3 linked regions of the Arabidopsis thaliana genome follow. The protein of the gene in region 1 interacts with the protein of each later gene in a pairwise test. Each region holds a gene or a part of one and is shown in the gene's direction. Other genes may lie near its edges. The genes, in order: HSP81-3, RPP4 and AGO1.

Region 1 (5,502 bases):
AAGCAGAGTAGAAACCAACACCAAATTGACCAATCATGCTAACATCAGCTCCAGCAGCCAATGCCTCCATGAACTCCTTGGTACCAGACCTTGCAATTGTTCCAAGGTTGTTCACCAAATCTGTACAATAGAACAAACACGAATCAGCAAACACAAATCAAACACATAGATAATGGTTTTGAATGAAATCAAGTACAACTTGCTTTTGAATGAAATCAATTACGTACCAGCCTTGGTCATCCCAATACCACTATCGATAATGGTCAAGGTGTTGTTAGTCTTGTCCGGAATGATATGAATGAAAAGCTCAGGCTGACCATCGAGCTTGCTCTTATCCGTCAAGGACTCGAACCTAATCTTGTCCAAAGCCTGTTTCACCAGAATAAAAAGCTCAATCATAAGTAACAAAATACACACAACATATATACAATCAAAAACTAAGTAATCTAACAAATTTGAACATGAAAAGGTTCCATCAATTAACAAACGAAAATCTCAAATCGAAAAGAACACTAAACCCTAATAAAACCTAAATCTACACATAGATCCGTCAAATCAATCGAAGGAGATACACAAACACATTAAGCTTAAAGATAAACATAGAAAGACAGAGAGGGAGAGATCGTACATCGGAGGAGTTACTGATGAGTTCACGGAGGAAGATCTCCTTGTTGGAGTAAAAGGTATTGATGATGAGGGAAAGCAACTGGTTGATCTCAGCTTGGAAAGCAAAGGTCTCTGCGTCCGCCATTATCGTTGATCGGGAAAAAAATCTAAGAATTAGGGTTTATGTGAATCAAAAAGCAAATTCTTAAGAGAAGCAGAGAAGTATTGATGGTTTGATTAAGGGGGAAAAGTGTGTAATATATAGGGGATGTGGAAACAGACGTCATAATATAATGGAAATTGTAAAATATAAAAATTGTCATAATATTTTACTTTCCTTTTTTTTGGAACAAGTGCTACTTACTTTTTTTTTTTTTTTTTTTGTTAAATTTTTCTATTAGCTAAACTAATCAATAAAAACAATGTTTTTCTCCATATACAAAATTCGATTTTGTTATGGATTTGAATTTACAAGTTCCCATTCATTCTAGTTTATCTATGTTTAGATTTTTTTAGATCGGTCCTAGTTTTGGGTTATTTTTTGAAATCGATAAAGTTAATCCCTTAGTTTCAAGATATCTCAAAATTTTATTTCAAATTTTAGTTATGTATTTAATTTATAACAACAAGATAAATAGTTGTGTTAAAAAAAAAAAAAAAGTTTTAATCAATTCTGAAGTTAAAAAAAAAAAATCAATTTTTTCTCCCCACAAACCCCACGCTTTTTAGAGAATATGTGTTTCTTTTTGTTATTGTTTTAATTTATTTATTTTACAACTTTCAATATTATTATTTAATTATTGATTTTTTTGAAACTTTATTAAAAGATACACATACCAATCTGTAAACAGGAAAAAAAAAGTTGTAAGCAAAAAATAAAATTATTGCTTTGTTTTTAAAATAGTAAATTATCATCAATAAAATAAAATAGTAAATTACAAAATTAACAAAAAAGGAAACTAAAACCTGTTACAAAAAAGTAGTAAATTACACCTGTTCTGCAAAATAAAAAGGGAGTAGAATTAAATCTGACTGTTTTTTATAAATAGTAAATTATCATCAACCAATAAAATAAAATAGTAAATTACAAAATTTAACCAAAAAAAAAAAGAAGTAAACTAAAACCTGTTACAAAAAGTAGTAAATTACACCTGTTCTCCAAAATAAAATAAAAGGGAATAAAATTTTAAAAAATTTAATAAAGTTTTGTATTTTTCTACCAAAAAATAGTTTTGTATTTTGTAATTTCCATTTAATTATATTGCAGATTATGTGGACCTGAAAAGCAAATTAACATAAATCAAATAGGAAGGATCTAGAAACCCTTATAGGTTCCCAGTCCCCACACCACTATATATAATAACATCCTTCCCCAAAGTCTCGTATCAATCAACACTTCTCTGCTCTCTAAAGAAAATTTTGCTCTCTTTATCTCTCGATTTGATTCATAAACCCTAGCTCTTAGATTTTTTTTCCGATCAACGAGAATGGCGGACGCAGAAACCTTTGCTTTCCAAGCTGAGATCAACCAGTTGCTCTCCCTCATCATCAATACCTTTTACTCTAACAAGGAGATCTTCCTTCGTGAACTCATCAGTAACTCTTCTGATGTACGATCTCTATCTCTCTACACCTTATTTTATACTTGTCTGTCTCGTTTGATTGATCTGGCTGTTCGATCTGTAGATTTAGGATTGATTAGGGTTTAGTGTTCTAGCCGATTTTAGAATTTTGGTTGGTAATTGAAGTTGCGAAGCTGTTTGTGTTCAAATCTGTTGATTAGTTTTAGTGTTGATACCAACGATTAAGCAGACTCTTGTTAGATTTACAAAGTTTGCTTATATGTAATTTGTATATACGTTCTGTGTATTGGTTGGTTACTTACGATTGTGATTTTACTCTGGTGAAAACAGGCTTTGGACAAGATTAGGTTTGAGTCCTTGACAGACAAGAGCAAGCTCGATGGTCAGCCAGAGCTCTTCATTCACATCATTCCCGACAAGACTAACAACACCTTGACGATTATCGATAGTGGTATTGGGATGACCAAGGCTGGTACGTAATTGATTTCAGTCAAAAGCAATTTGTATTGGTTTTCGTTGATTATTTATGTGTTTGGTGTGTTGGCTAATACGTTTTTGTTTTATTTTTCAGATCTGGTGAACAACCTTGGAACAATTGCAAGATCTGGAACCAAAGAATTCATGGAGGCGTTGGCTGCTGGAGCTGATGTTAGCATGATTGGACAGTTTGGTGTTGGTTTCTACTCTGCTTACTTGGTTGCTGACAAGGTTGTTGTTACTACCAAGCACAATGACGATGAGCAGTACGTGTGGGAGTCTCAGGCCGGTGGATCTTTCACCGTCACCAGAGACACCTCTGGTGAGGCTCTTGGTAGAGGAACTAAGATGGTCCTTTACCTCAAGGAAGACCAGATGGAGTACATTGAGGAGCGAAGGCTTAAGGATTTGGTGAAGAAGCACTCTGAGTTCATCAGCTACCCAATCTCTCTCTGGATTGAGAAGACCATTGAGAAGGAGATCTCTGATGATGAAGAGGAGGAAGAGAAGAAGGATGAGGAAGGCAAGGTTGAGGAAGTTGATGAGGAGAAAGAAAAGGAGGAGAAGAAAAAGAAGAAGATTAAGGAGGTTTCTCATGAGTGGGATTTGGTGAACAAGCAGAAACCGATTTGGATGAGGAAGCCAGAGGAGATCAACAAGGAGGAGTACGCTGCTTTCTACAAGAGTTTGAGCAATGACTGGGAAGAGCATTTGGCTGTGAAGCATTTCTCAGTTGAAGGACAGCTTGAGTTCAAAGCTATCCTCTTTGTTCCCAAGAGAGCTCCTTTTGATCTCTTTGACACTAAGAAGAAGCCCAACAACATCAAGCTCTATGTCCGTCGTGTCTTCATCATGGACAACTGTGAAGACATCATTCCTGAGTACCTTGGGTTTGTCAAGGGTATTGTTGACTCTGAAGATCTTCCTCTCAACATCTCAAGAGAAACATTGCAGCAGAACAAGATCCTCAAGGTCATCCGCAAGAACCTTGTGAAGAAGTGTCTTGAGCTCTTCTTTGAGATTGCTGAGAACAAGGAGGACTACAACAAGTTCTATGAGGCTTTCTCTAAGAACCTGAAGCTCGGTATCCATGAGGACTCCCAAAACAGAACCAAGATTGCTGAGTTGCTCCGTTACCACTCAACCAAGAGCGGTGATGAATTGACCAGTCTCAAGGACTACGTGACAAGGATGAAGGAAGGTCAGAACGATATCTTCTATATCACTGGTGAGAGCAAGAAGGCTGTTGAGAACTCTCCATTCCTTGAGAAGCTCAAGAAGAAGGGTATTGAAGTTCTCTACATGGTTGACGCTATCGATGAGTATGCTATTGGTCAGCTCAAGGAATTCGAAGGAAAGAAGCTTGTCTCTGCAACCAAGGAAGGTCTGAAACTGGATGAGACTGAAGACGAGAAGAAGAAGAAAGAAGAGCTCAAGGAGAAGTTTGAGGGACTCTGCAAAGTGATCAAGGACGTTTTGGGAGACAAGGTTGAGAAGGTTATCGTCTCTGACCGTGTTGTGGACTCACCCTGCTGTCTTGTAACAGGCGAGTATGGCTGGACTGCAAACATGGAGAGGATCATGAAAGCTCAAGCCTTGAGAGACAGCAGCATGGGTGGCTACATGTCGAGCAAGAAGACAATGGAGATTAACCCAGAGAACTCCATCATGGATGAGCTGAGAAAGAGAGCTGATGCAGACAAGAACGACAAGTCTGTGAAGGACCTTGTACTTCTTCTCTTTGAGACCGCTCTTCTCACTTCTGGTTTCAGCCTCGATGAGCCCAACACTTTCGGGAGCAGGATTCACAGGATGTTGAAGCTTGGATTGAGCATTGATGACGATGATGTTGTTGAAGCCGATGCTGACATGCCTCCACTTGAAGATGATGCCGATGCTGAAGGTAGCAAGATGGAGGAAGTTGACTAAATTATCACACACAGTCGACTTAATCATTAGGGGTGTTGAGACATTGGTTATCTTTTTATCTTTTTTTTTTATGTTTTCGTTTGAACTAATATTTTGGAACTATTTTCTGGAGTTTATTTCTTCTATCGCTTGTTTTCGTGAAGATTTTTTCTCTGAATTCGGTTTGATGACAAAGGTTCTCTTATGCACAATCTTGCAAATCCAAGCTTATTTTGGTTATGTAGCCTATAACTAAGTTATTAGTATGACTAATATGGCTAATAAAATACATGAAGCAGCTCCAAATCATATTGTTAAGCATCTCAGACAACACAGCTTACATATTCTTTACAATAATAAATAATTTATTGTTCGACATAATACTGTTGTTACTGTTTGACTTAGCGTTAATTTTCTGCACAAATGTTGTTACTACTTTGATTAAAAAGGATAATTTGTGTAACAATTTTTTGGTCAGTTTTAAAGGTTATTATTATTTTTTTAAATAACTTTTACGATTAGAATATGAGTAGTGCAACGCAAAATAACACTGCCGTTTAAGACGACGGTCCCTTGACAGAATCTTCATCAACGCTCGATTTGACGTCTGCCGATTTCCTTAGCTCCGACGTAAACCACTGATCGTCGGTATTCAGCTATATTTTGATTTCTCAGCTCCAAAAATTCCCAACGAAATGGAGAAAATGGCCAAAGGATGGTTTCCGATGAGCGGCACTAGTAGCAGCGGAGATCAGCAGCAGCAACCGCTGCAAACAGGAGGAACGTCTCTGCTAGCTGATTGGAATTCTTACGCAGCATCGAGAGATTTTGAAGAAGACACCGGAACTTTAGGCTTCGATATCGAATCCGCCGTTAGATCTGCCAACGACACTGTTTCCGGCACCTTTAATGTGTAATCCATCCATCT
Region 2 (7,793 bases), on another chromosome or scaffold:
TGTATTGGGAAACAAGACTTTGATATTAAACAATCATAAGTACATTCTTACGATAAACTGTCTTGTACAAGGACAACTGACAACCACAAAATTTGTGTGTTTCAAAATATCTGTGTAGAGGAAACGAATAACGTAAGTTTCTGTCTAATTGCCTAGAACTTGAAATATTATTTCTGTCTTGTACAAAGACTTATCATAATTCAGTGACAACCACAAAAATTCAATCTTCAAAAATATCTCTTGAATGTGTCTCCATCTCAGGATTATAGTGATGGAAGCTCAAGTTTGAGATTTTTCCCTCAGATTTCAAGTAACATCATATGCCTATGGTGGCGTTATTGTCCATTGAAGCGTTTGCCTTCTAATTTTAAGGCTGAGTATCTGGTTGAACTCATAATGGAGGATAGTGACCTTGAGAAGCTGTGGAATGGAACTCAGGTACTAATTTTTTATTGTTTTTGTTGTCAATTTGAAAACAGAAATGTGTTATGTTTATTGATTTATTTGTTCAAAAAATTAAATGAATTTTTTGAAATGTTTACGAACGTCTGTTATTCTCTCTTTCCTTGTTTTCAGTTACTTGGAAGCCTAAAGAAGATGATTCTGCGTAATTCCAAATATTTGAAAGAAATTCCAGATCTTTCTTTAGCCACAAACCTCGAGAGACTAGATCTTTGTAAATGCGAAGTGCTAGAAAGTTTTCCAACTCCTCTCAACTCGGAATCTCTTGAGTACCTCAATCTCCTACGATGCCCCAAGTTGAGAAATTTCCCTGAGATTATTATGCACAGTTTCAGAGGAGAAATTGACATCGAGGTAGCAGATTGTTTATGGAACAAGAATCTCCCTGGACTCGGTTATCTTGATTGCCTTAGGAGATGTAATCCAAGTAAATTTCGCCCAGAACATCTCAAAGACCTCACAGTGAGATGTAACAACAAGCTTGAGAAGCTATGGGAAGGCGTCCAGGTAATTCATACGTATATTATATATTGATCAAGATTCAATAAGAGATTCATCCGTACAAATAAGGAGAAAGGCCTAGTATTGGGTATGTGCTACAAGGAGTTGGGCCGAACACATGAGAAGTCTATGGAGAGCTTCTAGAAAGAGTGAAGGCGCACAAATATCTCTTGTAGCCGTTGAAGAGGACTCACGAGTGTCTTTAGCGACATGGTCAACCAAGGACCAGTCGCTCTCACCATCAAGACCAAGGAACCTCTTCTCTCATGTCTCTTTCAGTCTTACGTTAATTGTAAACGGTCATATTCCCTTTGTGTGTCTTTAAATACATTGTAAACACACAAAGGTTACTAACTAATTCTATCAATATGATTTGGTCATTCTCACTCATATACCAACTCTCTTGTTCTTCATAATTCTCTTACTCTTTGCTACAATTCCGCATATTCTTTCATTATATACAAGGACAACTGATAACCACAAAATTTGTGTTTTCAAAATATCTTTGTAGAGGAAACGAATGTAAGTTTCTGTCTACTTGCCTAGAAATTGAAATATTATTTCTGTCTTGTACAAAGACTAAGACTTATCATAATTCAGTGACAACCACAAAAATTCAATCTTCAAAAATATCTTTGTATGTAGTGTAAAAAAGCTTTCGAGGAAAGGAAGGGCCGAGTTTCTTTATTATTTACGTCTCAATTGTCTTGTTAGGAGATTTGATTTTAGCCACTTAAAAGAATATCTTGTACAGTAAGTCTTCTATGCAAGTCTTGGAGGGAAGGAAGACGAAGTTTCTCCTCTCTTTCTCACACTATGTCTTGCTGATTTACTTCTCTTAAAAATCTTCGTCTCTTCTCTGAGTTCCCTCTATCGTCTCCCATGGCTTCTTCTTCTTCTTCTCCTAGTAGCCGGAGATACGACGTTTTCCCAAGCTTCAGTGGGGTAGATGTTCGCAAAACGTTCCTCAGCCATCTAATCGAGGCGCTCGACCGCAGATCAATCAATACATTCATGGATCACGGCATCGTGAGAAGCTGCATAATCGCCGATGCGCTTATAACGGCCATTAGAGAAGCGAGGATCTCAATAGTCATCTTCTCTGAGAACTATGCTTCTTCAACGTGGTGCTTGAATGAATTGGTGGAGATCCACAAGTGTTACAAGAAAGGGGAACAAATGGTGATTCCGGTTTTCTACGGCGTTGATCCTTCTCATGTTAGAAAACAGATCGGTGGCTTTGGCGATGTCTTTAAAAAGACATGCGAGGACAAACCAGAGGATCAGAAACAAAGATGGGTTAAAGCTCTCACAGATATATCAAATTTAGCCGGGGAGGATCTTCGGAACGGGTATGTTTTATTTATTCCACTATTTCTATGAGTGTTTATAATTATTGCAAAACTAGAAAATGTGCGTGGGTTTAAAATTAATATAAAATATGAAATAATTTTAAAATTTACATAATGAAATATTTTTAGCTATTTAAAAACAAATTTTTTATTGTGTATATCATATTACATAAATTAGTTGTTTATAAAGCTTTCAAAAAATATTTGGAATTACTCTCAGTTAAAGAGAGCAAATTAATTTTGTTTTGAATAAAAATTTCAATTTCATTATGGAATATAATTATATTAGCATCTACAATATGGGTAGCTTGAAATAAGTGTTATATGTTTTGTTGATTTTGAACTCATTAAATTTGTTTTTCTTTTGTTATAATTTATATGAATTCATGTGGTGTAAAATAATTTATTAATAAATATATAATTAAAGTTTCAATTAGCATGTCAATATGACATATTACATTTTTACTTTCACAATAAATAATATCTACTCAAGATTTGGTTTTTTAATCGACAAAATTGATATATTGGTAAGTCCTGATTTTCAAAATCAACTGACGACCTTTATGTTATTGAAAAAACTAAAATGATCTCCTAACTTCTAAATTACACACTTTCATTGTTTCACATCATCATCATCATCTATTGTTTGAGAGAAATGCAAGATTTTATCAAGCTATTACACTTTCTTTACAAACAAACCAATGCCCTTTTTAAGAGACTCAACAAATTCGTCCTAGGTATAATAAACCGTATTTCAAGCACACCACTCGACATTGATCTAATGCGCTATTGTATAAAAAGTTATTTTTTTAAACATCATTATCCTTTTTATAAATCTTGCTTTACTGAAATTAACAGTTTACCCAAAATATATAAAACATTTTGTCTCATATTTCGTAAGACACATTTTATTTTGTCTTGATATAATATATAATTAAACCTAAATTTCAAATATAATTAAGGATATAGATAAAAGGTCGCACATGATGGCTTCTCAAATACTCTCATATAAAAAATCTTAAAATTTAAGAAAAGATAAACTTGAAAAATAAAAATCCTAAATCATTTCAATATGTCACTCATATAAAAGAATTTAATTTTGTTTTGCTTCATTATATATAATAGAGTCTTTTATTATGAATTATTTGGTCCTAAATATAACTTTTAATGTGTATTATAGGCATAGATTTTTGTTATTTGTATTATGAGTCTTTCAATATTTTGACTTATAGGTTTGAAAACAATTATTGGAAAAGTCATTAAATATAAGTAATGATAGAAAAAGATTAAACAATTTTCCTCATATGAGTGAACTAATGTTGATCATGTTTTCTTTAGAGGCTGAGAATTGAGCTTCCTTATGCTAAAAAATGAACACAATTTTAAGTTTTTTTTTTTGTCAATTTGGATGCCAACGCAAATTGATGTAGAGTAAGATGAGATTGAACAAAATTACTGAAATGTTGTTTTAAAGAACATATATGTCAACAAAATTTGGTAACTATTTATAGAAATATTGGGTGAACAAATTATAATTCTCATTTTAAAATTCAAAACATTATAAACAGAAACTACATATAATTAGAATTTAATTTTATTAACAAAAATAAAAAATATTATACTAAAATTTAACTCGAAATATTTAAGTTGGAAAGAGAAATAAATAGTTATATAATTAGTATGGTCATACCTATTGTTATCGCTCCACCATTAATCGAGATTAACTAAATCACTTGCATCAAATTTTGTATTTTATGAATGATCAAAACCTTGATCCTTACTTTCTCTTGCAATTGACTATGCTATCCATAGTCTGCTAGCTTCTTATCTTATATCCATTTAAATGGTTTAAAGTGCATTTGATGCCTACAAAACAAAAAAAAAAACTTTTTCTAAAAGATGCAAAAATATCTTGAATTAAATTCAGAACAAAAAAAAACAGGAAAAAAACACATGTAAGTAAGATTCAATATAACCATTTTAGAAACATTAAACAATATGAAATCATTCACAAAAACTTAAAAAGAAAACGAAATCTGAGAGCTAATACGAGTCCAAACCTTAAATGAAGGAGAGAAATTGAAAGACAGGGACTCTTGCCGTAAACGTTGTTAATACCGCAAGCCATCTTCCATTTTTCGTCAATTGTTAAAGGAAATAAAAATACTTGTGTGTGATAAAAAATAGTATATATATTTGCTATTTATATCAGAAAAGTAGATATTTAGGGTATAACTAATTCATGTGTTTATTTCCAGCATAAATGTTAATAATTGGTTCAAAAACGTTTGCAACACAAACGTTACATGAGTAACAATTTTTTTTTTTTTAAAACGTTACATGAGACACTCAATCACCCTAATTTTCTTTTTCTCATTGGTGTTTACTTTACATTTCATTGATTTTAGTCATTTGAGTCTTTTTTAATGAGGTTAGTTTTACATTTATTTCAAATTTATTTTCTTATGAAATCATATTTTTAAAAGCAATTCTATTATTTAAATATTTAAATATTAAAAATTATTAAAAGACAATCCCAAAGTAAGATAGGTATGATAATATTTATAGTAAATAATTTAATAAAAGCATGTGTAAATATTATATTATAAAATGAGAGAAAATAAAAAGACAAATCATATTTTAATGCATCTGTATTATTTATATATTGATAAATGATACATCATCAAATAATAAAATTAGAATTAATATTTATTCTATTTTCATTGTTTTGAAAATTAGAATAAATTATTTATTCATTGTTTATGCTAAATTCATTTTTTGAATAAACTGTAGGAAAATATGTTATATATCATGAAAATAATCTTTGATATTTGCTTTTAATGATTGAAAGTAAAACAAAATTAATTTAGAAATAAATTTAAAATTTCTTACTTATATTTTTTCAAAAACAAAATATTTTATAATTAAATTTAATGCAAAATGATTATGGTATATTTCAGTTTTGGAAGCAATAAAAATTAAAAAAATTACACATATCGAAAGAATAGAGTGCGACTTATCAAATTCTCAGAGCATGACTTCGAGAAAACCTTACTTTATTATATAAGACTGGGTTTTTTTTTCTTGCGTTGACTTCGAATCTTCGATTGTGCTTTTAAGGGTGCCTCTCTATTGACACAATTGACTATTGTTATTAGGCCTACTGAAGCGTTTATGGTTAAAAAGATAGCCAATGATGTTTCGAATAAACTTTTTCCTCTGCCAAAGGGTTTTGGTGACTTCGTCGGAATTGAAGATCATATAAAGGCAATAAAATCAATACTTTGCTTGGAATCCAAGGAAGCTAGAATAATGGTCGGGATTTGGGGACAGTCAGGGATTGGTAAGAGTACCATAGGAAGAGCTCTTTTCAGTCAACTCTCTAGCCAGTTCCACCATCGCGCTTTCATAACTTATAAAAGCACCAGTGGTAGTGACGTCTCTGGCATGAAGTTGAGTTGGGAAAAAGAACTTCTCTCGGAAATCTTAGGTCAAAAGGACATAAAGATAGATCATTTTGGTGTGGTGGAGCAAAGGTTAAAGCACAAGAAAGTTCTTATCCTTCTTGATGATGTGGATAATCTAGAGTTTCTTAAGACCTTGGTGGGAAAAGCTGAATGGTTTGGTTCTGGAAGCAGAATAATTGTGATCACTCAAGATAAGCAACTTCTCAAGGCTCATGAGATTGACCTTGTATATGAGGTGGAGCTGCCATCTCAAGGTCTTGCTCTTAAGATGATATCCCAATATGCTTTTGGGAAAGACTCTCCACCTGATGATTTTAAGGAACTAGCATTTGAAGTTGCCGAGCTTGTCGGTAGTCTTCCTTTGGGTCTCAGTGTCTTGGGTTCATCTTTAAAAGGAAGGGACAAAGATGAGTGGGTGAAGATGATGCCTAGGCTTCGAAATGATTCAGATGATAAAATTGAGGAAACACTAAGAGTCGGCTACGATAGGTTAAATAAAAAAAATAGAGAGTTATTTAAGTGCATTGCATGTTTTTTCAATGGTTTTAAAGTCAGTAACGTCAAAGAATTACTTGAAGATGATGTTGGGCTTACAATGTTGGCTGATAAGTCCCTCATACGTATTACACCGGATGGAGATATAGAGATGCACAATTTGCTAGAGAAATTGGGTAGAGAAATTGATCGTGCAAAGTCCAAGGGTAATCCTGCAAAACGTCAATTTCTGACGAATTTTGAGGATATTCAAGAAGTAGTGACCGAGAAAACTGTAAGTTTTTCGCAGCTCCGTTTGAATGCATGACTTTATATTAATATAATCGTAATTTGGGGATTGATAAACTTAAGCAATTGTTGCCTCATGCGTAATTAAAACGTAGTTTTGATGTGTCAGAAAAATAAAAAGGGTTGCGATTGTTAAGATTATATTAGTTTTCTTTGGATTTTTTTTCAGGGGACAGAAACTGTTCTTGGAATACGTGTGCCACCCACGGTATTATTTTCGACAAGGCCGTTATTAGTAATAAACGAAGAATCGTTCAAAGGCATGCGTAATCTCCAATATCTAGAAATTGGTCATTGGTCAGAAATTGGTCTTTGGTCAGAAATTGGTCTTTGGTCAAAAATAGATCTACCTCAGGGCCTCGTTTATTTGCCCCTTAAACTCAAATTGCTAAAATGGAATTATTGTCCATTGAAGTCTTTGCCATCTACTTTTAAGGCGGAATATCTAGTTAACCTCATAATGAAGTATAGTAAGCTTGAGAAACTGTGGGAAGGAACTCTGGTACGAATTCTAAATTTTTATTAGTTGTCAGTTTTTAGAACAGAAAATTGTGGTATATTTGTGAACGTGTGTATTCTCTTTTTCCATATTTTGTTTTCAGCCCCTTGGAAGTCTCAAGAAGATGGATTTGGGGTGTTCCAACAATTTGAAAGAAATTCCAGATCTTTCTTTAGCCATAAACCTCGAGGAATTAAATCTTTCTAAATGCGAATCTTTGGTGACACTTCCTTCCTCGATTCAGAATGCCATTAAACTGAGGACGTTATATTGTTCGGGGGTGCTATTAATAGATTTAAAATCATTAGAAGGCATGTGTAATCTCGAATATCTATCAGTTGATTGGTCAAGTATGGAAGGCACTCAAGGCCTCATTTACTTGCCACGTAAACTCAAAAGGCTATGGTGGGATTATTGTCCAGTGAAGCGTTTGCCTTCTAATTTTAAGGCTGAGTATCTAGTTGAACTCAGAATGGAGAATAGTGACCTTGAGAAGCTGTGGGATGGAACTCAGGTACTAATTCTATTAGTGATCAATTTCTAAACATAAATATGTTAGAAAAACAAAAATGAATCTGTTTAAAATATTCATTAACGCGTGTACTCTCTTTTCCCCTATTTTGTTATCAGCCACTTGGAAGCCTCAAGGAGATGTATCTGCATGGTTCCAAATATTTGAAAGAAATTCCAGATCTTTCTTTAGCCATAAACCTGGAGAGACTATATCTT
Region 3 (8,112 bases), on another chromosome or scaffold:
AATTGAGAATTGGATAATATCCGATGATTAAGATAGCATTTACTTACAAGTAATGTTTTCGATAGAATTAATGGTCACTATCCAAATTCCAAACCATACGCTAATGGCTTCCAAAGGAAAACTAAGACTTTATGGAGTTTTACATAAAGTCTTCGTTCAAACATCATTTTCATAAGTCTTTTGTAACTTTCTTCCTCTTAACGGCTTCCTACAATATCTCGATTTAGAACTCCAATCAACATCTAATATTTTGTCTACAACTTTATGTTTTTTCACCTTACTATATGATCTAGACAATCTTTTGTTAGGTAAAGTGTCTAGATATTCTTTCACCTAATTAACACGGAAACGTAAACTTGTACAAAAACATCTATTGATTATAGAAGAGAACCGAGCCGTGAGAGTCGTTTCTCGTCAAGACCGCACCAATCGACTCAAACATGAGCCAAACTGTACGTAGTTCTTATAAGGAACACAAACCTCCATCGTAAACCAACGTTTTCGATCGGTTCTAGCTAGACTCGCCATGCATGCATGTGCGTTGGTGCCCGTAATTACGTACACCAATCTTGATTGATATCAATGCTTATATGCCGTTAATCTTCATCTCGACTCTCGAGGTAGTAGTACTTGACGAGTTCTAAGTTCTTCTTCCGTTATGAGAAATCATATATAAGTTCTTCTATACATCTCGCTTGATTATTATAATCTTTCGCCTTTTAATTTCTCGTTTGATTATTATAATTAATGTTTATAATGAAAAGAATCATTATTTCCCAAAGCAAACGAATCATTTTGAGATAGACTTACAGTTATCACAAAAAGAAATCTAAACGTTTTCCCCAAGATTTAGCCTTTCGTCAGCATGTAATTACTCGTGACATATTCTCTAGCTCATATTTCTTCTTCACGCACGAGCAACCAATTTTGTTATATATGTATAAATCATCTTTGACAATTATATATAATACAGATTTGTTACGAGTATATGAATTTTTTTGAGGTACAGAAGCAAATCAACTAGTGAAACTAAATTAAAGAGCTAACCATCAAATAAAGTAAATTGAATTAAACAAACAAATCATACCACGTGATGACAGCCACCACATTCCTAAAGTTAGAAAATTGGCAAACCTGTAAAAAAGCATCACTTCCCCGAAATCGCAGGTCATATTTCTATGAAAACGAAAGAGAGTTATCTATATAGTAAATGGCTATATTCATATTTGCCCCACCACCCATGACCCATCTCAGTTAATAAATAGTTCTTCTATTCACCTCTATACTATAATCATTCACTTTATCTTATATATAGTCTATAAAACTAAACGTAATTCGCATGATTTTGCCTTTCGTTGCATGAAAAATCCTCCTTGACAATGTACAATTCGTTAGTACTACTCGATCAGTCGCCTTGACTCACGACATTTTCTCTAGCCACTGTTTTATCTTCACACACAAGTACCAATTTTAAACTGTTGTACTTAACTGTATAACATCCTTTATACGTAACGTAAGCCAAAAATTATGATCTAATCAGTTACTACAGATTAATAATAAGATTAATAACGGCCGGTCTACTAATTTTGAACACTTGTGCATGCATTATCTCTCGTTGAAATAGTAAATTAATGCAACTAACTTTACAAGATTAATCGAGGTATATTATAGTCTAAAACAAATATTTAAATTAATGCAACTAACTCTTGAAGATTAATCGAGGTAACGCATCACACTAATCATATTTAATCGGATAATACATATACTGTTAGTAAAATAAATTAAAAAAGATTTGGTAGATAAACGACAAAAATGTTTTTCGTCTTGTTGTTTTCGAGAAGCTTCTTTTTCCGGATTAAAAAAACATTATGCAATTCCACGTCATCAGCGCATTACAAACAATGAAAGACTACACACGACCTTGGGTCAGCATTCCAAAGACCCAACCCTGACTCGCCACGTCGACATATGCCAGCTATTAATGAAGAGGGTAATTCCGTAACTTACTCTAACCACAGAACCCTTGAATTTAAAGTGTAGCAGTAAAATCTCATTTCTTTGAGTTATCTCGTTTGTTCGGAGTTAGAGAGAGAGAGAAAGATATAGAGAGAACACAGAGAGGCGAGAGCGACGTAGGGTTGGTGTTTCGTACGGATTTTCTCGGTCAATCTTAGTTTCTCCGGCGAGAGATTGCTTTTCAGGTAAAAATGGCGGCGGTTTTGGTGTTTGTTCTTCACTTAATCTGTGTTCGATCTGCGTATGAACTCGATTTTTCCACTCGATTGGGTGGATCCGCTTCGTTTTGGTGTTATGGTTCACTGATAGTGTTGTATGTTTAGTTGATCTTTGCGATTTCGGATCTATTAGCTTCGTAGCTGTTTTGGTGTGTGTGTTCGTCTTCGAAGATATTTAGGTTTTTTTTTTTTGTTGCTTCAAATTTCTTACTGTTTCGTGCTTGTTTTCTTACTTCGTTTTCTGTTTAGGTCTTTGATTGTTTCTTACTAGGTTTTCTATGTTTGCTTTGGGCTGTTGAATTTGGTTTTCTATCTCTCTAGCTAATCACTGGTTTTCGTGCTTCTGAGTCGTTTGTTTTTGAAGCTAGTTAGGGTTTTCTTCTGTTGCTTCTATATTTCGATAGTTTTGTGCTTGTTTTCAATGTTTGCTTCTTATTTTCAAGGATAATTTTAAAATGACCCACTGTTTTTGGGTGGTTGTGTTATTTTCACAGGAATCATCATGGTGAGAAAGAGAAGAACGGATGCTCCATCTGAAGGAGGTGAAGGCTCTGGGTCTCGTGAAGCTGGTCCAGTCTCAGGTGGTGGACGTGGTTCACAGCGAGGTGGTTTCCAGCAGGGAGGAGGACAACACCAAGGTGGAAGGGGTTATACTCCTCAACCTCAACAGGGAGGTCGTGGTGGTCGTGGATATGGGCAACCACCACAACAGCAACAACAGTATGGAGGACCACAAGAGTACCAAGGAAGAGGAAGAGGAGGACCTCCTCATCAAGGAGGTCGAGGAGGGTATGGCGGTGGCCGTGGAGGTGGACCTTCTTCTGGACCACCGCAGAGACAATCAGTTCCCGAGCTGCATCAAGCTACCTCACCTACTTATCAAGCGGTGTCTTCTCAGCCTACACTGTCTGAGGTGAGTCCTACCCAGGTACCAGAACCTACTGTTCTGGCTCAGCAATTTGAACAACTCTCTGTTGAACAAGGAGCTCCCAGTCAGGCAATCCAGCCTATACCTTCTTCTAGCAAGGCTTTCAAGTTTCCAATGAGGCCTGGTAAAGGACAGAGTGGAAAGCGTTGCATTGTGAAGGCTAACCATTTCTTTGCTGAACTGCCTGATAAGGATTTGCACCATTATGATGTGAGTTTTGTGTTCCCTTAGTATTAGCTACCATACATCTAATGTCTATTTATAAATTTACCTGACCAACTGTGTTCTTTCTGTTAGGTTACCATTACTCCGGAAGTTACATCAAGGGGTGTCAATCGTGCTGTGATGAAACAACTTGTTGATAATTATCGTGATTCTCACCTTGGAAGTCGTCTTCCAGCGTATGATGGTCGAAAAAGTCTTTACACTGCTGGTCCACTTCCCTTTAACTCCAAGGAGTTCAGAATCAATCTTCTTGACGAAGAAGTAGGGGCTGGAGGTCAAAGGTCTAGTTCTTATGGTTTCTTGTTGATTTTTTTAATAAGGAAGTTTCAGAATAATAACATCTTTCCTATTTTACAGACGAGAAAGGGAATTTAAAGTTGTGATCAAGCTAGTTGCACGTGCTGATCTGCATCACCTAGGAATGTTTTTGGAGGGGAAACAATCAGATGCCCCACAGGAAGCTCTGCAGGTTCTTGACATTGTTCTTCGTGAGCTGCCGACCTCTAGGTACTGGTTACTCATCCTATGGATGTTTGCTTCTTTACTACCATGCTTGTAAGTCTCAGCTGGTTTAGTTTTGCTAACATGTTAGAATCAGGTATATTCCGGTGGGCCGGTCCTTTTATTCCCCTGATATAGGAAAAAAACAATCATTGGGGGATGGCTTGGAGAGCTGGCGTGGATTCTACCAAAGCATTCGTCCTACACAGATGGGCTTATCACTCAATATTGGTGTGATGGCTTGCTGTATTACATTCAATAATTTTTGATATCTGGTTCTCCTTGAATGTTTAACTCATGGTTGTGCTGCAATTTTGTCTGTTTTGTAGATATGTCATCGACAGCCTTCATAGAGGCAAACCCTGTGATTCAGTTTGTCTGTGATTTGCTTAACCGGGATATTTCTTCTCGACCTTTATCTGATGCTGATCGTGTTAAGGTATGAATCAATTGTCATTTTCTGTAGTAAGTGAAATGTTGTATTAATCTACTCTTCTTTGCTTAGTGACTTGGAATCTTCTTCTGTCAACAGATAAAAAAGGCTCTTAGAGGTGTCAAAGTTGAAGTGACTCATCGAGGAAACATGCGCCGGAAGTACCGCATTTCCGGTTTGACTGCTGTGGCCACTCGGGAATTGACGTGCGTATTTGTTTTAGATTTACTACTCTTATTTCGCGAATGTTGAACTTGATGAAATTAATTTTTACTCTCTGTTTTTATCCTTTTCAGATTCCCAGTAGATGAAAGAAATACTCAGAAATCTGTTGTAGAATACTTCCACGAAACATATGGTTTTCGCATTCAGCACACTCAACTACCATGCTTGCAAGTTGGGAATTCTAATAGGCCTAATTACTTACCAATGGAGGTAACTTTGAAATACGTCATCAGGTTTTATTAGCTCACCAGTACTTCCGATTCTAATGTGTTGCTGCACAGGTATGCAAGATTGTTGAAGGCCAGCGGTATTCCAAAAGATTGAATGAGAGACAGATCACTGCTTTGCTGAAGGTTACCTGTCAGCGCCCGATAGATCGAGAAAAAGATATCTTACAGGTATGTTTCTTTATTTTCGATAACTTTGTTTTCCTTCACTTGAATCAAGAGTATCTTTTTGTCCGCCTATCTTGATAGTCGTTTTAAATAATGTATGCTGGTGATAAAGCCTCATTGTGGAATAGATCATTGTAAAATCTGTTTATTCTTACTTGGTTGCATGTGTTTACTTGAAGTAAGTGATTTTCTCAATTCATATCTAACTTGTTTTTAATCATATAAACTTGTGGCTGAAAGGATGTTATGGAATGAATGGCTTAAAAACCTGTTTCTTCTTTACTTGGATGCATATGTTTGCTTGAAGAGAGTGATTTACCTTGAGATGATGCCTTTACTTCATAAATAGTGAGGCAGATTACCATCTTCAGAGTTGTGCTCTTAATTTAGCAGCGCGTGTGTCTTCTGGCTGCTGTTGTTGAAAACTCAATTGTTTATTGCTAACATTATACAATATTTTCTGATTTCTAGACGGTGCAACTCAATGATTATGCTAAAGATAATTATGCTCAAGAGTTTGGCATCAAAATAAGTACTTCTCTGGCTTCTGTTGAGGCTCGTATACTGCCTCCTCCATGGGTATAGTAATCGTTCCCATTGTCTCTTTGCTATTACACTTTTTCTCTGTATCTTAATGACTCAAATTAGGGTTCCAATCTGATTTTAATGTTCTGCAGCTTAAGTACCACGAGTCTGGAAGGGAAGGGACTTGTCTGCCACAAGTTGGTCAATGGAACATGATGAATAAGGTAACTAGACGAAAATGTTCCTGGTTTTCAACTATGCACTTACATGTTTCTTGCTTGTGTTACCTATATATACCTATGCTGTCATTTTTATGTGAATATTTTGTAAATCATGGCTGAGCTGTATATTTCCAGGTAATTGGCAAGAAAATTGTTTATTTATTTGTCTGTTATGAGACATATTACTCTAAAATGCTATTCTCTTGATATGAGTATGGGTGTGGCACTTGACTAGTTGCAGAGAGTATTTTGTTCATGTAGCTATGTAGATACACACTGAATTTGTCTTTGTTATTTTTTGAAAGTGATCACAACGTTTTCTGTTGTCTGGCTAATATGAGTCTTCTCTGCAGAAAATGATCAATGGTGGAACGGTGAATAATTGGATCTGCATCAACTTTTCTAGGCAAGTGCAGGACAATCTAGCGCGTACATTTTGTCAGGAACTTGCTCAAATGTGTTACGTATCTGGCATGGTGAGTCTTTGGAAGCACAAACTTGATCAGTTTATTAACCTTTCCTACACTGATTCCTTCCCTTTAATTTTTTATTTCTTACCTGCAGGCATTTAATCCGGAACCAGTCCTCCCACCAGTCAGTGCTCGCCCTGAGCAAGTAGAGAAGGTCTTGAAGACTAGATATCATGATGCCACATCAAAACTCTCCCAAGGAAAAGAAATTGATCTGCTTATTGTCATTCTGCCCGATAATAATGGATCATTATACGGTATGAGCCATGGTCTCGGATGTTTCATTGTCTACTTCTGCTTAGGAACACACTCTCAACTTATTTTCCTTAATAATATCCATTGCAGGTGATTTGAAACGCATATGTGAGACTGAACTCGGCATAGTCTCTCAATGTTGCCTGACAAAGCATGTCTTTAAGATGAGCAAACAATACATGGCTAATGTTGCGCTGAAGATTAATGTGAAGGTTGGAGGAAGAAACACAGTGCTTGTTGATGCTCTATCTAGGCGGATTCCTCTAGTCAGTGATCGACCCACCATTATATTTGGTGCTGATGTTACCCACCCTCACCCTGGAGAGGATTCAAGCCCATCTATTGCTGCTGTAAGTTAGCTTCTCCTTTAAGATCTACTTCTGTATATGGATGCTTTTGTTTATTTTCATGGCCTTAACCTTTTCAAATTGTGCTTGTTTTGTTGACAACGAAATTTTTGTTTTCAGGTTGTGGCATCTCAGGATTGGCCTGAAATCACTAAATATGCTGGATTAGTTTGCGCTCAAGCGCATAGGCAGGAGCTCATTCAGGATCTGTTCAAAGAGTGGAAGGATCCTCAGAAAGGTGTGGTGACTGGTGGCATGATAAAGTACGTGTGGATGTTATTTAATATTTTCGTGATTGGGTTTTAGCTTTAGCTTGCTCTTAAGTAACAGATCTGTACGTTTCTCCCCTTACTTTTGAACAGGGAGTTGCTCATAGCCTTCCGTAGATCAACTGGGCATAAACCACTAAGGATCATCTTCTACAGGTATTAACTCTTCTTATGGCACTTACTTGACTAAATAACTTTCTGTCTTTCTTTCTGAAATGTATTATATGGTTATTCTGCACAGGGATGGAGTCAGTGAGGGACAATTTTACCAAGTTTTGCTCTATGAACTTGATGCCATCCGCAAGGTAACAGTTACTTCTAACAAATGGCTTGTGTTGCGTGCTCGTTTTCTTCTGTTTAATCTGATTATTATTTCAACTCATTTCAGGCCTGTGCTTCGCTGGAAGCAGGTTATCAACCACCAGTGACATTTGTGGTGGTGCAGAAGCGTCATCACACGAGGCTGTTTGCTCAGAACCACAATGATCGCCATTCGGTGGACAGAAGTGGGAATATTTTACCTGGTGAGACAAGTTTGGATCTTTGTCAAGCTTTTTGTGCGTAGACCTAATCAGCTGAAAATCCCTTGCATTGGTTTTTAACCCCTTTGTTAATTGTAGGCACTGTTGTGGACTCTAAAATCTGCCACCCTACAGAGTTTGACTTTTACCTCTGTAGTCATGCTGGTATTCAGGTATAATTTACAATCTCAAATGAGTTTGTGGGTGAGAATTTATTTGAAGTGTTTAACAAATCAAAACTCCATTAACAGGGCACTTCTCGACCTGCTCATTACCACGTTCTTTGGGATGAGAACAACTTTACTGCAGATGGACTTCAATCTCTGACCAATAACTTATGTTACACGTAAGATTTCTTACCTTTGTAACATATTCCTTGTTACAAGTGTTTGCAAGATTGCAAGGAAAATAAGAGTAACATTTAAACTACCTTTTTGATTTGTACAGGTATGCAAGATGCACACGCTCAGTTTCAATTGGTAAGTTTTGTGTTTCCCATCCCTTAATGTCATCTTGATTTTGATATAAAGAAGAGAGAGATTTAGTATTCAATGTTTTTTTTT

What was found.
Region 2: the proteins of HSP81-3 (region 1) and RPP4 come close enough for resonance energy transfer, tested with the Arabidopsis thaliana proteins (one study listed by BioGRID).
Region 3: the proteins of HSP81-3 (region 1) and AGO1 interact in a two-hybrid assay, tested with the Arabidopsis thaliana proteins (one study listed by BioGRID).

The regions. Positions count from the first base shown.
Region 1 is NC_003076.8:22,679,317-22,684,818, forward strand, and holds HSP81-3 (heat shock protein 81-3), read left to right. Parts: upstream 1-1,921; 5' UTR 1,922-2,093; coding exon 2,094-2,216; intron 2,217-2,519; coding exon 2,520-2,661; intron 2,662-2,760; coding exon 2,761-4,595; 3' UTR 4,596-4,936; downstream 4,937-5,502. Other genes in the region: Hsp81.4 (HEAT SHOCK PROTEIN 81.4), read right to left, coding at 1-120, 228-369, 629-751; AT5G56020 (Got1/Sft2-like vescicle transport protein family), read left to right, coding at 5,270-5,487. UniProt on the Arabidopsis thaliana protein: Functions as a holding molecular chaperone (holdase) which stabilizes unfolding protein intermediates and rapidly releases them in an active form once stress has abated.
Region 2 is NC_003075.7:9,489,753-9,497,545, reverse strand, and holds the start of RPP4 (Disease resistance protein (TIR-NBS-LRR class) family), read left to right. Parts: upstream 1-1,708; 5' UTR 1,709-1,845; coding exon 1,846-2,315; intron 2,316-5,145; exon of another isoform or gene 5,146-5,473; coding exon 5,474-6,551; intron 6,552-6,734; coding exon 6,735-7,067; intron 7,068-7,167; coding exon 7,168-7,578; intron 7,579-7,694; coding exon 7,695-7,793. Other genes in the region: AT4G16880 (Leucine-rich repeat (LRR) family protein), read left to right, coding at 397-438, 577-996.
Region 3 is NC_003070.9:17,886,517-17,894,628, reverse strand, and holds the start of AGO1 (Stabilizer of iron transporter SufD / Polynucleotidyl transferase), read left to right. Parts: upstream 1-2,032; 5' UTR 2,033-2,201; intron 2,202-2,728; 5' UTR 2,729-2,736; coding exon 2,737-3,372; intron 3,373-3,459; coding exon 3,460-3,668; intron 3,669-3,744; coding exon 3,745-3,894; intron 3,895-3,979; coding exon 3,980-4,119; intron 4,120-4,217; coding exon 4,218-4,327; intron 4,328-4,420; coding exon 4,421-4,527; intron 4,528-4,617; coding exon 4,618-4,756; intron 4,757-4,827; coding exon 4,828-4,944; intron 4,945-5,412; coding exon 5,413-5,520; intron 5,521-5,618; coding exon 5,619-5,690; intron 5,691-6,040; coding exon 6,041-6,163; intron 6,164-6,251; coding exon 6,252-6,414; intron 6,415-6,502; coding exon 6,503-6,762; intron 6,763-6,879; coding exon 6,880-7,022; intron 7,023-7,121; coding exon 7,122-7,184; intron 7,185-7,269; coding exon 7,270-7,333; intron 7,334-7,416; coding exon 7,417-7,552; intron 7,553-7,648; coding exon 7,649-7,722; intron 7,723-7,800; and 4 more.